Neurospora crassa OR74A: one gene and its partner. The protein of the gene in region 1 interacts with the protein of each later gene in a biochemical or structural test. Links are inferred from orthologs where the notes say so. Each region holds a gene or a part of one and is shown in the gene's direction. Other genes may lie near its edges.

What was found.
Region 2: of the proteins of os-4 (region 1) and os-5, one has a biochemical effect on the other in vitro, tested with the Schizosaccharomyces pombe proteins (2 studies listed by BioGRID). The link is inferred for Neurospora crassa OR74A from reciprocal best matches to the Schizosaccharomyces pombe genes wis4 and wis1.

The regions. Positions count from the first base shown.
Region 1 is NC_026501.1:4,445,084-4,449,684, reverse strand, and holds the start of os-4 (MAP kinase kinase kinase SskB), read left to right. Parts: upstream 1-1,602; 5' UTR 1,603-2,563; coding exon 2,564-4,601. UniProt on the Schizosaccharomyces pombe protein: Involved in a signal transduction pathway that is activated in under conditions of heat shock, oxidative stress or limited nutrition. Unlike win1, it is not activated by changes in the osmolarity of the extracellular environment.
Region 2 is NC_026501.1:7,912,149-7,916,606, forward strand, and holds the start of os-5 (mitogen activated protein kinase kinase), read left to right. Parts: upstream 1-1,505; 5' UTR 1,506-1,710; intron 1,711-1,973; 5' UTR 1,974-2,401; coding exon 2,402-4,054; intron 4,055-4,126; coding exon 4,127-4,458. UniProt on the Schizosaccharomyces pombe protein: Dosage-dependent regulator of mitosis with serine/ threonine protein kinase activity. May play a role in the integration of nutritional sensing with the control over entry into mitosis. It may interact with cdc25, wee1 and win1. May activate sty1.

The DNA.
Region 1 (4,601 bases):
CGCAGTACCTACGCTACATTACATACACTACGCAATGCCATGTACCTACACTGAGTCTATGTGGAGATGATCACGTTGATTAGGTTCAGTTGGTTCAGTTACAAAGACTGCGGCGTGCTCCGCAATCCCGTGTGGCTTAGCAGAAGCTTGCAGGCTTGGATTCCGTCAGTCTTCTTGCGGGTTCACAGCAGGGGAGGTTGAGAGCTTCTGCGGCACTGCTCCCACTATCGATCTCACCCAACAAAAGTCGACTCTTGCACAGCAACGACAGCAGAGCTTCGATCCAATCAAAGGTCGCACGCTGGACGGGGAGATAGCCGGTCAAATACATTTTATCTATTGTTTCAAGATGCTCATATCGAATACGACAATTCAGAATTCCCATTCTTTTGGATCTCCCAGGCAGATACGATGGCAAGGTGGTCTAGATGGTTCGTCAACCTCGGGTTCGATCACGATGTTGTGGTCAAGTGCGTTGATGGACGCGGTGGCAATTCTCGATCGATCATGTCGGCTGGGTCCAATGTCCGATTCCCCTACAGAATTGAGATCTTGGGCGCTTTTGGGAGACTCCGGCTCTGAAGTGGAGGGCTCGCGCACTACTAGCCCGGCCAGCCTTGTCGCACGTGTTTTGCTTTTTGCGCGACCGGGACTGGCAGTGACTGGCTACCAAACCGTGGGATCGTTATCCAGGTCTAGACAATTTCCTATTGCCTATTTGGGCCAAAACTACAAACCTGGTCAGAACGCATCATATCGTTAGTGCACGCAGAACTCAATCCTCCATTCGTCATCTCATTTCCGGCCTGCTCGACGAACGTTGCCAGGAGGAAGCAAGTAGAAAGGCAAAGTCGAGCCAAAGCAAGGGAATTTAGAATGCCATGCGCCCTTGATCGGATGCAAAGATCAGCCATAACTACCTCTACCTTACTGTAGCCATCTCGACCGCATCACCCCCAGTCAACCCACCAGTCTTTACCAGGGGCAATCAACATGTCCCTCCTGCTCTTGCCCAGAAAGCGAGGCGGCAGGTGAAAGTCACGATGCTGCAGGTCAGGGTTGCTCCCGAGGTCTGCTTCACCCCCTGCCGCTGCACCGTGATCACCACCTAGTAAGGCCTCCTCATTTCAAGGCTGTTCCCAACTGTCTTAACATGGCCTGCAGAGACTGTTGGTTCGCGAACAAAGGCAAGGCTGTACGAGCTGGACTGATAGAGCCAAGAGAAGCACACCAACACCAAGACTCCGCCAATCTCCACAACCTGTCCCCAATGATTTCGGGCAGTCGGTCACCGTTGGGATGTTGCTACACTACCTGTTGTACTAGTGTACACTATGGGCTCTTTAGTGCCATCAGTGCAGACGGACGGAGCTAGCTGCCCGCTCGTACCTAACCCCCGCCGAGCTGGCCTGCAGTGTGCTTGTATGGGTGCCGTCGGGCCACAACTTGCATTCCTGTTGCCTGTCAAACCCACCCCGGATTATTAAGAAGGTACAGGGGCAGCTTGAGCCATGAGGAGCCGAAGGCCCAATCAGTGGTACCTACCTACCTCGATCTGGGCTGCCCCCTATGCACCTGTACCTCTACTCGGCAAAGTAGGACTTTTCACCTCTCTCCACCTTCTCTGTCAGAGCTCCAGAGTTATCACGAACTTTCTCTCCTTTGACTTGTCGGCGACACACTAGGCACCTACTGCTGTCCGACGGCCCCATTGTCGATATCGATCTCTATGGTGGGACCAGTGCTACCTCGCAGGACAGACCGCCTGACAACTGCTCCTTACCTCGACCGCACTACCGCACTGCCCCTGGCACGGACCAAACTGGACTAAGCCGGACGGACTCTGGTGGTAGTACTGTACCTACCTACCTATCTGACCTGCCTAACCCCGACCTGAACAAGTGGAAAGCGCCCAGGTCCCAATTGACCTTTGAGGTGACGACGGCCGGGACCGCCGTGGACGTCGCTTGCATCGCTGCATTCATCCACTTCCATCTCGACGCAAGGACTCCCCCTATTCCGCCGCCACTAGGGGCTCCAGGCCGCGACAGTCTTCGAACCCGAAACACTGGATACAGCCGTTTTTCCATTCTTCACGCCGCTCGCTGACATACCCGATCAATTGATCGAGCTCTGACGGCCCTCCCCTCATTCTGGCTTGCACCCCATGGACAAGCAGGGCCCTGGTGTCAGCCTTGTTTCCCCAAGCAGTGGGTGATTTTGCTGCAGCCTCTTTAGCGAGACATACATTCCTTGACTTGACATCGACAACGACGACCACCGAGGATTCCCACAGATAGACGACGACCCCGACGACCATCATTTCCAACAACTGAACCACACGCCGAGCACGAGACGCAGACACACACGCTCACAGCACACACAGCCACTGGCATTGACTGATACCAGTCTTCCGAAATTGACATCGACACCGCCATCGACCGCGGCCGCGACCGACCTCTCCGGGACGGACGGCCTCGTATCGCATTGGGCGGTGAACAGTTGACGACCATCCGCTGAACAATCGACCATCTAACCTCTCATTCCATCCCTTCAACCCACCATGGCCAGCGAGCTTTCTCCCCGTGCTGTGCGCTTCTCGCAGACGGACGATGAGCCGATTGCCCGGCTCGACAAGCACAAGACCGTGTCCCGACCGAACCCCCGTGCCAACGACTCGGATAATTCCAATCCCTCAACGGACGCCCACGATGATCTCCACGTCCGAGAGCAGATTGACGAGCTGGGTTCTCTAAGTCGATATGTCGAGAGTCATTCTGGCTCGGTGCCTTCTCTGGTGCCCGGGTCCCTGACCAGCTCCCTGCCCCTGGCCAATGGATCGAGCAGTCGCCGCGGTGCTAGCTCAGAGACGTATGCCAATGGGACTCCGTCACGACCACAGCGCCCAACCGCCCCTGCCAGGACGCCTTCCAACACTTATCAGCCCTACAACCAGCGCAGGCCCCCACAAGGTCAGCCTTCGTCCTATATGGCGAATAATCCCCACGCCCGTGATGGCTCCAGACCACGCCCCTTGGCCGGCACTTCAACCTTCAGAGCCCAGGAGAGAGAATATGTGCGCAGATTACGACAACAGGACTACAACAACGACTACTTTGACGCTTACGGCTCCGGCGAGCAGTACGATTCCGATTCCGAAGGCGAGACGCCATCTTCCGAGGGCGCGTTCGACAGCTACGATGATGCGCATATCATGTTCGCCAGTAACGAGGATATCCAGATTACCGAGGAAGACCTGAGAGATCCCGAGAGCCGCGAGAGACTAGAATGGCACGGCATGCTGGAGGCTGTGCTCACCGGTGATGTTGTGCGGCAAGAGAAGAAACGTCTCATTGGCTCCAATGATGAGGCCTTTGGAAAGTCAGCTCACAATGTAGAGCTGTGGCTTGGGATTCGGGCAAGGCTATGTGGTCGACACCTGCCAGTCCAGAAACGGGTCGTCGAAGATGCCCGTGCAGCGCTGGACCGTTCCATTAACGACATTATCAACTTTGCGATTGCTGGAGAGAGCGAGGCAGGAAAGCCGCCATTTGAACAGGTTCGCGATGTGGTTAACAAAATCGAAAGAATCGAGAGCCTCTACCCGTCCAGTAGGGAACTCATGACCGCCCTCAAGCCTGGTGTTTATTCGGCCTATCAGGAGACCTGCGACGCAGTGATATCATGGTACAACGTCAATGAGATGATCAACACAGAGCTGTCGATCTTGAAAAAGTGGGTCGGCAACGATGCTCTCGACTTCTCCCGCACCAAGGAAAAATCACCCAGCGGGAATGGTCTCAGCGATGAATCATCTTTCCTGGATCGTCTCATGAAGGAGGAGGGTCTCAAGTCACTGCACGAAGACAAAGGCTCCGAACCGAAAAGCCTAAAGAAGAAGAGCAGACTCGACGGCATCTCTCGTGTCATCACCAAGGCCAAGGACACACTTATTCAAAATGCCGAAGGTTTCCAGAAGCGCCATCTCCCGCCTTACATCGAGGAGCTGCTCACCCTCATCAGTTTCCCTTCACGCCTCATTGAGGAGATCATCAAGATGCGGCTGGCTTATGCTAAGAAGATGAAGGACTCGGCACAACAAAACCCCATGATGCAGGATCAAATGATCTCGCAGTTCCAGGTTCTTCTCAAGCTCGCCATCAAGATTAAGCGCGAGTACATGGAAATCGCTCGACCGGAGCCCGGTTGGGACTTGCCCCCATGTATTGATGAGGATTTCGACCGTGTCATCCTGGAGGCGCTCAAGTACTACTTCAAACTGTTGAACTGGAAGCTCAGCGGCAACAAGAACACCTTCAAGGAGGCCGAACTGCTATTCCAAGAGTGGGGTTTTGGAAACGAAATCGGGCGTTACTTGGCACACGGCGATGTGGAAGTCGCGGAACAGTTCAGTTCTCTAACCTACAAAGCCTGGAACCGACTGAGCCAAACTTTTGAAAAGGAGGTTCAACGAAGGCCAAAAGAAAGCGTGCCTGAGATGACCAAGCGATATAAACAGATCCTAGACTCCGTTCGGGTTCGGCAGCGAATGCTGCAGCGTTTCTCTAGAATGTTGAACGACAACTATGAAAATGCATGCG
Region 2 (4,458 bases), about 3.5 Mb from region 1:
CCCCCCGATGCAGATGGGTACACACCGTAGCCCGTCAATGGTCCCCTTCCCCCGCCTCCCCCACCCCCGGCCTGGGAGGTGACTTGATTGTTTGGCTGGCTCTCGCTGGCTCTCTCGCTGACTTCCCGCGGCGCAGGCAGGATGATCCAGGAGACAACGTCATAGCAAGATTTCTCAAGATCCCTAGCTCCAATTGCCCCACTTTCCTTTCTGAAGCATGGAAGTTGCTAAACACCAGCAGGACCAAGAAATGCGGTATCTCCAAGTACCACGCCGACATTTGGCGTCAACTGGTGTACCTTCCCTTTCCCCGCTATACGCCGCGGAGTGTACGGCATCTGAGTGGGTTTGGGCGTTGAACTTGACATTCTTCCGCGAGCCGCTCGGACGGCTGTGTGGAGATGAGGTGTACAACACACACAAAAACCTCAAGGCTAGTAGTATAAGGGTTAGGTTAGGTGCTGGTGTTGACTATGGTTAGCTCCGAGGGTGTAGGGACCGATGAGAGATCCTCGCGCATGAATGTGAAATCAGCGCGTCGAAAAAGATCGTTTAGAGCTTTCGTTGTCCATGATCACAGTCGTGCCTCTTTGGTGATGGTTGTCGTGACTGGCTGCGCAGACTTGATGCCAAGCTTTGGAATTTTGCTGAGTGCGGTCTTCACATTTGTAGCAGGCTCGTTCGGATTCTTCCGAGTGCCGAATATCGTACCTGACTCGACGACATGACATAGAACTCGTCTTCCATGTCCACTTGGAGCCAAAGCGGCACTCTGTGATATTGCTGCTGTTGCTTCGTCCTTCCTGTGGCCCTAATCGTTCCTTTTTATATGCCGAAAAGGAAATTATTCACCCAAGGAGTACCGTGACCTGCGATACACTGTGCAGCGAGTCGTAAAACCTTGGCAAATCCCCTGCAGCCCATGGTGTGCCCAGTCTTTCGTTTTTTTTTTTTTTTTTTTTTTTTTTTTTTTTTTTTTTTCCTGTCGACCGACCTCGTTGTCGACTGTCTGTGTCCGGTAATGGGATAGGATGACACTGTCGTGGCTAACTGCGCAGTATAGTGAAGACCTGGTCAGGTGCCCGCAACTCCGCGGACCAGCTGGAGCAAGCTCCGTATATTGGCGGACCAATACAAGCCTCCTCATGAGTTCAATGGTTGGCAGAAAAAAGCCGGACAGACGATGCTCGGTGGGCGAAGCGAATTCTGGGACGTTTTCCTTGGAGCGTTAGCTCAGATGATTGGGGCACTAGAGGTATTCTCGGCATATCGCATTCCCTCTTCCTCCCCTGCGAGCTTGGGACGGGAGACCGGGAATGGAAATGGGGATTTGATGGGAAGTGGAAGGCATGGACCACCTAGAGGGGCGTTTTTTTGCGAAATGCGGAGCAAAAGCCCCTGCTCCGTGCTGCTCGGCGTTTGCCCAGGCAGTGCTTTGGAGGTGCCCACTGCCCGCCCGCTGAAGTGATGAGATGCCCGCCGGCAGCAGTACCTGACCTTCCAGCCTAGGAACCTCGAGTGACCTCAACCAAGAAGTTGGTGAAGTCCTACATCCAAAACCCGCCCGCCAGCCAACGTCGATACCACCTCACCTCCATCATTTTGTGTCCCCTACTGAGGTACCTCCCTACTTTAGTTGGACTGGATCTTGGACCGGGTCCATAGTCGATATCGACCTTTCACTCCGCCGGGCACTACCTACGTCGACTAGTACGTTATCTTTCTTTTCTTCCGCTTCCTCCTCGTTCATATTCTTACCTCTCTCTATTCACAAAGAGAGAGAGAGAGAGAGCGCGCGCGCGAGAGCCACGGCTTGCTTCCACCATCACACCCCATGTTCACGAACCTGCGAGTCTCAGCCGCTGTCCCTCTTAGCCGTGTTCAGAGCTCTCTATCTACCACCTACCCTAGCTTGCACCCCCATTACTAGCTCACTTTCTGTTGGGCCTGCCCGCTCACCCGTCAATCCATAGCAGGCCAGCCATCGTAGCGTGGTGCTTTGTCATCGGTTGCGAACATCGTCACCTTGCAGCTCTTTGCGAGACCAGAGCCAAATCTTTGGATGTTGCGCTTTCGATTATCTCTTCTCTGACGCCCTCTCCCCCTTCCTACATAACCTGTACGAAAACTCCTCCCCTTCGACGACGACGACGACTATACCGACCCAACCTCTTGTTCGAGTTGCCTCTCGACCAGAAAATCGCTTCTCCCACGCTGCCTCGACATACTCCATACCTTTGCCGCCCCTCTTTTCAGAGCCGCTTCAACATCAATAGCAGTTTGCGCCGCATATTGCTAAAGACCTTCCGTCGACCAACACTTTGGCACTCGCCAGCAGCAAAAAAAGAAAGAAAAAAAACTAGTATCGCACAGCGCTGAAGATAAACTACTTGCCAGCATCATGTCGGACCACGATCCCGATCACGGCCCAGCTAGCCCAAATGAATATGACGATGAGAGCAACCCGGCTTCGCCAGGCTCAGTCGACGAGTCGTCTGAGGCAAGCACGCCCATGGACCCGCCAAGCTCAGGTTCAGATGCGATGCCTGGTTTCACACCAGAAGGCGACCTGCCTCGCAGAGTGCCATCATTACGGACCATCTCCGACCCGCAACACACGAATTCAATGAGCCCTAGTTCGAGTGTTCCTGGGACATTGAATGCCGCACGAAGACCTGCGGCATCCGCAGCAAATCTTCCAACGGACCTCATGGCAAAGGCACGAGCTCTGCATCAACAGCGGATGGGCATGGCTCCCCGACCCAGCATGTCGCCGCAGAACAGTGGACTGGGTATGGGCCCTATGGGATCGGGCATGGGCGGGATGGGAAGTATGGGGGGCATGGGACACAGCATGAATTTGAACATGAATCACGGCGGTCCGGCACCCGGCGGCCTGCCCGGCGGCCTTCGGTTACCTCCAGGTATAGCACGACCACCGCCCCAAGGCTTCCCCAAATCCGCACCTGCCATAGCCGGTCTGGGAGCTAAAAAGGCCCCCAGTCTGAGCGAACGACGAGCGATGAAGCTCGGAGGGCTACCAGGAGGGCCTGGGTCGCCGGTGACTGCCACGCCGAAACTGTCAGACATGGGCGCCGAAGACGCCAAAGCGCCAGCCATTAATGGAGAAGGGCGCGGATCCAAGCTGAGCGATTTCAAGAACTATATCGACGCAGAAAAGGGGTGGATAACTTTCGCAGACGCAGCAACCATCACACGGACAGGCGTCAACTTCGCCAACGGACAGACCTTCAGAATCTCGCTAGACGAGGTCGAAGTGATGGACGAGCTAGGCAAGGGCAACTATGGTACCGTCTACAAAGTTCGACATAGTAAGCCCAAGCTTCCACGTTTTGGGCAAGGCTTGAACACCAAGCAGTCTTTATCTCGACAAGCGTCGGCATCAGATGCTGACGTTTCCGATATCTCGCCACTAAGTCCTGTCACTGCCGCTGCGCGTGGCATTTCAGGCAAGGTCATGGCGATGAAAGAGATCAGACTCGAGCTGGATGAATCCAAGTTTTCCACTATTCTCAAGGAACTCGTAATTCTCCACGAGTGCGCTTCGCCCTACATCATTGATTTCTACGGCGCCTTTTACCAAGAAGGCGCGGTATATATGTGCATCGAGTACATGGATGGCGGCAGTATAGACAAGCTATATGCCGGAGGTATCCCCGAAAATGTCTTGCGCAAGATTACATATGCAACGATCATGGGCCTCAAGTGTCTAAAAGAAGATCACAACATCATCCATCGCGATGTCAAGCCCACCAATATTCTGGTCAACACGAATGGACAAGTCAAGATCTGCGATTTTGGCGTTTCGGGAAATCTCGTTGCCAGTATAGCAAAGACCAACATTGGCTGCCAGAGTTACATGGCACCAGAACGCATCAGCGGTGGTGGCATGTCAGCTGCGGGCGGCGCGGCTGCCGGGACCTACAGCGTACAAAGCGATATTTGGAGTTTGGGTCTCACCATTATCGAGTGTGCCATGGGTCGATACCCATACCCGCCTGAGGTTTCTAGCACAATCTTCAGTCAACTCAGTGTAGGTCTTCTTTCTGCTTCCCTATCCTCATCCCTGAAGCGTACACACAAGCTAACAGAATGAACAATCCAGGCCATCGTTGAGGGCGACCCTCCCGGCCTCCCAAGTGAGGGCTACTCCGGCACAGCACAGGACTTTGTCAAGTCCTGTCTCAACAAGATCCCTGCCAAGCGCCACACCTACCCGATGTTGCTGATGCACCCATGGATCAAGTCCCTCGGCAGGCCCGAGACTATCACGGAAGAAGTGGAAGCCGAAGAGAAGGCCGCGGACGACCAGCTCGCCGACGCCACCGGCTCGCTCGACATCAACAGTAACGGACCGATCAACGACCAGGGCGATCGTGAGGTCGCTGAGTGGGTCACCAACGTTCTGGACCGCAAGCTCAAGGGCTTGCTCAGTGA